Linked DNA regions of Bombyx mori. The protein of the gene in region 2 purifies or fractionates together with the protein of the main gene of each other region. This does not show direct contact. Links are inferred from orthologs where the notes say so. Each region holds a gene or a part of one and is shown on either strand. Other genes may lie near its edges.

Region 1 (3,954 bases), on a different chromosome or scaffold from region 2:
CTTCTATAACCAACTTGGAATATAAGTCTTTCCTTGCTCTTGATAGGTTCATTGCAGGCACCAGTGCGTTTTAATACTACATTCATCAGAGACATTTTGTGTTCGTGTGGTAAAAGTCCGAAAACAGCCAACGGAGCATTCGGATTTGCTGTACTAAAGGCTTTCCATAAATCTTGATGAACACCTTTTACATGTATTCTTATATAAAAGCCATACTGTAATAAAATGTTTGGTTTTGTATTAAATCAATACCATACATAAATTAAACTGTTAACGAACACAACATGAATATTGAAAAAAAAAAAGTTTTCTATACTCTACTTACCATATTAACTAAACTGTCTTCGAGTTCCTTAAAAACCCTCTTCCTGGTGCGCTCATAGTTTTCAAACTGAAATATTCTAGAATAATCCTGAGGCAAATTTTCCTTTACATCCCATGCTGATGTCCTGAAAGACTCTAGTCCTCTGTATCTCATAAAACGCTCTCTAGCTGGGATATCTTGCGGGGTATCAACTTCATCAGGGAATTGCTGATCTTCTTTTGCAGCTGCTAACTTCTGCAACATCTCATGTTCTTCCTGAGTGTCTATTGTGGCATCATACTTCTCATCTGTGGGTCCAACCTCTGATTCGGTAACAGATTCAATATCATTGAACTGTTTATCGTCCTCTGGATCAGAATTATCATCTTCACAAGACATAAACTCATCGTTTTCTTTCTCATCTCCACTATCAGACTCATCACCATCTTCCTCGGCATCAGATTCGACAATCCAAGCAGCTTGGTAATCAGACCAACCTTTGGGTACTTTCTTGATTTTTTTCTTTTGTGTCTGTAAACAGTTTAGACAATTTTGTAATTATTTATTTGCATTACATGCGGTAGGCAGCGGCTTGGCTCTGCCCCTGGCATTGCTGAAGTCCATGGGCGACGGTAACCACTCACCATCAGGTGGGCCGTATGCCCGTCTGCCTACAAAGGCAATAAAAAAAAAAAATCAATGCTTTATGTTTTGAATCAAGATGTACTACTCTCCAGCAAAATATACTTGACAATATTTTTACAATTATTTTTACATTACCTCTAAATTAGCTTGTTCAATTTCTTCTTCAGTTGGCCAGGTCTGCTCTGCATCCATAGGGTCTGGCACATTCTCTGATTGAAGACTCTCTTGCTTCGCAGGATCAGCTACTGCGAGAACTGACATTTTTGTGACTTCAGCATACATACCATCATCATTAGTATTTTCTTTCCCCAAATGAAATGGGTGGGGGTCCTCAAAACCCTCTATTCTAGTCATTTGAAAGTCACCAAGTCCAGTAATATGAACAAGTCCATTGACATTAAGTGCCATTCCTCGTAAATACCCTGATACTCTTAAAGTACCACTGTTACCTTCTAAATCGGGTACATATTCAACTTCCTCAGCCAGCATATAAGGTCTTTTCTCTCTATGATGTATTATGTTACGTTTCTGATTTCCTATTTTCCTTAACAAGTTCAAACCATCTGATTTTTTATCTAATTGCATTACCTTTTCTTCTGGAAGCCATTTTGAGACCAATTTCTGAACATTCTGTTTTTCTGTAGTGCGTTTCTTTGGGTGGACTCCCTCTATATCCATTGCTACTACTACAGGGGTAGGCATTCCTTGGGCCATAGAGAGTGCTAAAACTTTTTCTCCCCATTCATCAACTGGTTCCTCTAAAGCTGAGCTTACATAGAGGGCAGTGTCAGCTATTTTTAAAACATCAAGAAGTGCAAAGTCGTCACCTACTTCAGGACAAATAAACGAAAACCGCTGTTTGAAATTTGGCAACCTAGAATGATAAATAATTATTTTCAGCAAAATTACTGTCAATTTTGAGGTCTAGCTTTATGTTCATAGTACAAACATAAACATACCCGATGTGTACAATTCCGTTTTCAGACTCGTTTACGACAGCCCCATCAGAACAGGTCTTCAGAATGGCGAGTGCCGATCCTACATCGAGTTGCGCATTAAGCGGAACGACACAAACTAGAAACGGCGGATTCCTAGTGCCTCCTAAAGCACGTTTCGTAGCTAGAACCTCTTCCCTTTTATTTTTGCGAATTTGTGAAGCCTGATGACGGCGATCGTCTTTTCTAAGCTCACGACGATTACGTCGAACAATTTCTTTCAAGTTGACTTTTCCTGAAACACAGCTTTAGGTAAATAAAGTTATAATAGCGATTTTATAGGTTTAGTGAAAACATCCTAACCTTTTACAGCAGCGGCGATACCTCGTTTTGAGCGATGGCGTGATTTATGAGTTTTATTGCTCTGCTTGAAATGGCCGGGACGATGTGGTTGTTGCATTTTGACTGTTTTTCAAAACTTAAATGCAAGCTAGCTGATTTCAATTTGAATTTATTTACTAATAAAAAAAGCACATGTTGACAATCTTTTTGATAAGGTACTTTATGACTTGGTAACTAATACCTTTAAGTCACGTCTCCTATTTTTAAGAAAAATGATAAAATGGCGTGAAATCAAGATGATTAATTTGAGACATTAATCGACTGACATGAAATGAAATGAAATGAGATGAGATGATATGGGATGAAATATAATCTCAGTGTAATGTAATCATTTACTGAGATTTTTTCAGTGAACTTTTTGGAGGATACCAAGAAGTTACGTCCAGCAACTTTATACACTTTCACAGATATTAAACAGTTATTAAACCACCGTTATTATGTGTATAACACATGTAAACCTGAAGAAACATTAAATTGACAAAATAAAACAAACCACACAACTTCACTCCTCGCGTTCCCGCCAAAAAGTCCCAATCTGGTCATAGATAATATACCAGTCATAGATAATACAAAACCAGTCTTACATCCGTTTTTTTTCCTTTTCGTTCATTGACAAGGCAAAAGAAAAATAATTTAATTAATAATTAATTTTGTAATAAAGGTTAAAGCCATGTCTTTTCCATGAAATTTAAAAAAAATGACTGGAAAAGGAATTACATATTTAAATTAATTTAAAACAGTTTTAGGCAGCGGTGCATTTCAGTTTAATTAGGGACCTTTTGACTTAATTTTAGGACGCTTATTATTTAAGCGATTTCATTTTCTCAGTTTAGAATTTCTTCCTCTTTATACAGTTTTTAATGGTTACAAGTTATTAGGTAATCATATAATTTTAGCAAAAGTCTCTTAAGCAGGGAAATGAAACAAAATTGCTGAACGTGGCTTTCCGCCAGTTTAAAAAACATATATATTTTTTTTATTTAACTATTGTTATTGTCTATTCATTTGTACACGATCCTGTTTTATAGCGTGATTTCTGGAACTATAAACTATTTCTGGTTCAAAAACGGCAGTTTCAGAAGATGTCGAATTTTGAGGTCGTCGTGCCCTAAAGGATAAGACGTCCGGTGCATTCGGATCTAGTGATGCATCGATGTTAGAATCCCGCAGGCGGGTACCAATTTTTCTGATGAAATACGTACTTAACAATTGTTCACGATTGACTTCCACGGTGAAGAAATAACATCGTGTATAAAAATCAAACCCGCAAAATTATAATTTGCGTAATTACTGGTGGTACTTACTGGTGGACCTCTTGTGAGTCCTCACAGGTAGGTACCACCGCCCTTCCTATTTCTGCCGTAAAGCAGTAATGCGTTTCGGTTTGAAGGGTGGGGCAGCCGTTGTAACTATACTGAGATCTTAGAACTTATATCTCAAGGTGGGTGGCGCATTTACGTTGTAGATGTCTATGGGCTCCAGTAACCATTTAATATCAGGTAAAGTCGTCCACCCATCTAAGCAATAAAAAAAGAATGGATTTGTTAGTGATGAATCTTGTTGTTGAAATCTTGCTGAGTTTTCTAGAGAGCTTTCATATGCATAAACCATTTATTTTGTTCTCCCCCTTTATTGAGTTTGTCCTACAGGTCAGAATTACTTACATAC
Region 2 (4,220 bases):
ATACAGCTGATTCTTACCACTTAGAGATCTAGACACTGCGTTTGAATTGAATTGAGGGTTGAAATCCATTCCACAGTATTTAGTGCACAATATGGTCTAATTCAAACGAGGTTTGAGAAGATTGGTATACAGCACCAGCTTGTTTGTGACATTAGTATTGCTAACGTAACTCAGCTCTTAGACCATATTAAAAAAAACTTATTTTGTTTTCATAATTATTATAATCATTATATATTTGTCGTTCTTTGTTTATGTAACAGTAACTTAATAAATGCACTTCGAAAACTTGGACGTTTCATTAAAGCATAATATATAATTAGATTTTGTTCAAATACCTTAATTTTTTTATCCTCTGATGGTATCATGAAGCTACTTCCGCGTAGTATAGATACCACAGCATGTTGTGCCGCTTTTCTAACCTGCACAGATTACAAAATTATAAACAATTACTATTTGGAATGTGTGAGTTGTACCAATATAAAAATCAATTCAAAAAGTAATAAAATTAATATCTGGTTCAGAACAGACCTTGGGTTTAGAGTGCAGTGCAAAGGCCAGAACGGATTCAAACACTCTCATAGTTGATGAATCACCCCAGACAGCATACTCCTGAGCTCTCAGCAGCACCGACAGACATCCAATTGTGCTCCTCAGCAATGCTCCATTTTCAGACTGAGCATGCTCCTCGAGTAATTCCATAAATATTGTTGAGGAGTCCGAAAATTGTTTACGCAGTACTGCTTGTGGTACTGCTTTGATGCCCATTGATAGTAAAGTTATTGTGGCTACTAAATTGTCTTCCAGTTCGGATGCCTTTAGAGTTTCCATCTATACAGAAATATATAGTAGTATATTATTAAAAATTTTGGACATGTGATGCGTAGAGAGAAGGTGCATTTGATTAGGATATGTATGGAAATGGTAGTGCAAGGTAGAGGTGGTCGACCGAAGAAAACATGGATGGAGTGTGTGAATGACGATATGAGAGGGAAGTGAATGTTAAGATGACGGCTGATAAAAGAGAAGAATGGAGTAGAATAATTTGCTGTGCCGACCCACTAGTTGGACAAAAAGAAGATATTATTGAAAATTTTGCCATCACTTAAACATTAGTTTCATTTATTTTTATTTATTATTAGTTTCACTGTATCTATATATCCAAGTATAAGATATCAGCTTTCAGTTTAAGAAATTTATGACCGTTATTACTTACAAGAGCAGCAAAGTATTCCGTTGTAGTCTCTTTACCTCCTTGTTCTTTGATAACTTCAGTCACAGCCGCCAGCACTGCTAGCATTTCCTTGTGCAGTGCATTGTTTGAATCAAAACGATTTAGCAATCTACAGTAAATTTTATAAAAAATGAGTGTATCTTAGCTTATAAAGGAATGAAGAGCATTAAACTTAAAGACTCAATCTATTGAAGAAATAAAAAGATGTGATGTGGTATTTCGGTAAATTGATTTTGATTTAAGTCAAAGTAATATAAAAAATAAAGTAAAATTATAGCCAAATATGTATAAATACTTTCTCTTCTGCAAGTATCAATTGAATATATCTGAGAGTATATTTGTTTAGCTCTTACTTATTCACTGGTGCATACTTTATTTTGTTGCAATGAGTTTTGGTCATAAATTATTTCACAAAAATTCTTAGTACTTGATATAATTTATTCCAAATTTATAATAAGCAAGTCTCTCATGAAAAAGTGGTACTTAAAGTATGAAATGAAAAAAGATTAAAAGAGATTTTTTTAAGAAGAACATGTCCTAAGTTTCATCTTAGAATTATAATTCAGTATTCCACTGAATTCCAAATAATTTCTATTCCAAGTAGTTTTCCAAATAATTCCTAGTCATGACTATTTAAAGTCATAACTAAAGTGCATATAAAGGCTTACTTAAGTAATTATCCACATTTTGTATTTTATTTTCAATATCACATTAGCAATTGTGAGTATAGAAACCTGTTTTCAGGTACTGTCTCAAATACTGCAATAAAATTAAAATATCTATTTAAACTTTAACTTACTTATGAAAGCTGATATTTGAACATTGACTCCAATCAGATGCAAATGTTTGAAATGTCTTAAATGTTCCTGATCTTAATGTACCAGAGTATTCAGACTCTGATCCCTCGTCTCCGGTCTTGACCGACATATTTTCAAGCTCTTTTACTATGGTCAGTTCATTTTCAGCATCTGATTTTGTTTTGTTAGTTTTATGTCCATATGTCATCATAGCTTCATGCTTGGACACCGCTTGCTGTGTTAAGCCAGTGCTGCCTGTAGAAGTTAATTAGAGGAGTCACTTATAAGGAAATTATCTTAATTTTAACATAAAAAGTATGAGATTAGTTAATTTAGTCATGTTCTAGGTTATGATTTTATAAGGAAATTTTACTTTGAAATTACTGTTCAACAACTTTTTGTGATGTTTATAAATCCGTTTTTCCATAACGAATGATTTTGAGAAGTTTTAGAGAGAACATACCTAAGTTTTCCTGAAAAAACCGGGATTTTGCCATCTCCCTGTATTTTTGAATTTTCGGGTTCGAATTTGATGACTGTCCTTTCTGCCATCGTTTCCCCTTCGTTTTGCCTTTAAGTTTTGATCTAAATTTACCCATTTTAGTATTTCATAACAATATGCAAATGAAAGATGTAACACACGTGGGGAAAAAGTGTTCAGTGTTTTGATTGAAAATAATGACAGCAAGCCAATGAAGTAGGAAATAGGTCTATGCAGCAAGCAAAATGAAATAGTTGTCAAATTACTGTCAAACGTCAAACACATTCTTTCTAGGCAAAATGGATAATGAACGCAAGTCTTATCCTGCAAAGTAAAACTGTTTCAATTAGATTTAAGAGTAGTTAGAAATACTGTGGATCACATCTAATCGGGGTCGAGAGCTGAAGTTTAGAGTTAGGTAAACTACGGAATAAAAACATTACTTAAAAAATATTAGATTAATTAAATATCTAAAAAATAATAATATTAAAATAAACTATTTCAGTTCAGGAATCAACCGCAACATTTTATTAAACTAATATCACTTCATTGAACCCATTGTCCGATTTTTTCTTTCATTTTTCAAATCCATATTACGTTTCGTTATACGTGACCTAAACTTCATTTCAATGACCAGTCCGATGTATTTTAAAGTAGAATGGAACGTTTACCTTTCAATAGGTTTTTCATTCACCTTCGCATTGCTTGTTTCATTGACGTTTTTCTTGTTTGTAAATAATAACCGCTGGAAATAGTACGCAATGTGAAATTACACGCATTCCTTTATCGAGTGTTCATTACGTAAACGGGAGACGTTGCCGTGTAATTAGTTAAATGCTAGTTGAAAATTCATAACCTCGGTGGTGTTTCGTGATTCTTGTAAACGAGAAATGATATAAGAATAATGCCGCCCTTCCGGAGGAAGAAAGCTGCTAAATCTTTTCCAGTTAAAGTATGCACATTGGATGCTGAATTGGAGTTCAACCTCGAGGTAAACTGTATTTTCTGTTGTGGTAAACCTTTTTGTTTACACTATTTCCATTTAGTAGGTACTAAGTATTCATCCGATCGTATTATGAGTCATGCGGAGGCGCCCTGCACTTGTTAATTGATGATATTAATGAACATTGCAAGTACTTTGTATGTTGAGGGTATAATGATCATATCTTCTATGACTCTTATCTGTTTGACCACATTGCTTAATAAAAATGTCATTATAAATAATAATTATCTTTAAATTTTTACCATGTATGTAAGGTTGCTCGCGTTAAATATTTAAGTTTTGAAATTTCTTCATGATGATGATTTCTTTTAAAATGATTTGATTAAAAAACATAGAAATATAATATTCAGAAATTTAATTAAAAAGTTTGTTTGGATTAATGTTTTCATTTCCTAAATATTAGAAACACTAATGTAATTTTAAAAATTAAAGAGTGTAAAAACAGAAGTCATTTTATATTAATTATAATAAATATCTTTAGAATGTGTAACTTTAGACAGTTTTTAAAAGCAAGCTAAATATGTAAACTTGAATATCACATATATTTGGATGTATATAATTTTTTTAACAAAGAAGTTTCTACTATACTTAACATTGTAAATGCTGTATATTTTGTGTGAAGATTAATGAGTTCCTTTGACATTATAACATGAGTTATCACTCAACTGAATGTCAAAGATTAAATTTTATCAGAAATAGTACAATGAA

What was found.
Region 1: the proteins of RRP12-like protein (region 2) and pre-rRNA-processing protein TSR1 homolog purify together in Homo sapiens (affinity purification with mass spectrometry; 3 studies listed by BioGRID and IntAct, counting the BioPlex papers as one, with this or other methods). This does not show direct contact. The link is inferred for Bombyx mori from reciprocal best matches to the Homo sapiens genes RRP12 and TSR1.

The regions. Positions count from the first base shown.
Region 1 is NC_085128.1:3,653,815-3,657,768, forward strand, and holds the start of pre-rRNA-processing protein TSR1 homolog, read right to left. Parts: upstream 2,814-3,954; 5' UTR 2,780-2,813; intron 2,484-2,779; 5' UTR 2,345-2,483; coding exon 2,248-2,344; intron 2,180-2,247; coding exon 1,909-2,179; intron 1,824-1,908; coding exon 1,085-1,823; intron 836-1,084; coding exon 326-835; intron 216-325; coding exon 1-215. UniProt on the Homo sapiens protein: Required during maturation of the 40S ribosomal subunit in the nucleolus.
Region 2 is NC_085122.1:2,609,107-2,613,326, reverse strand, and holds the start of RRP12-like protein, read right to left. Parts: upstream 2,814-4,220; 5' UTR 2,628-2,813; coding exon 2,492-2,627; intron 2,284-2,491; coding exon 2,031-2,283; intron 1,341-2,030; coding exon 1,214-1,340; intron 829-1,213; coding exon 529-828; intron 420-528; coding exon 336-419; intron 1-335. Other genes in the region: merlin, read left to right, coding at 3,414-3,500.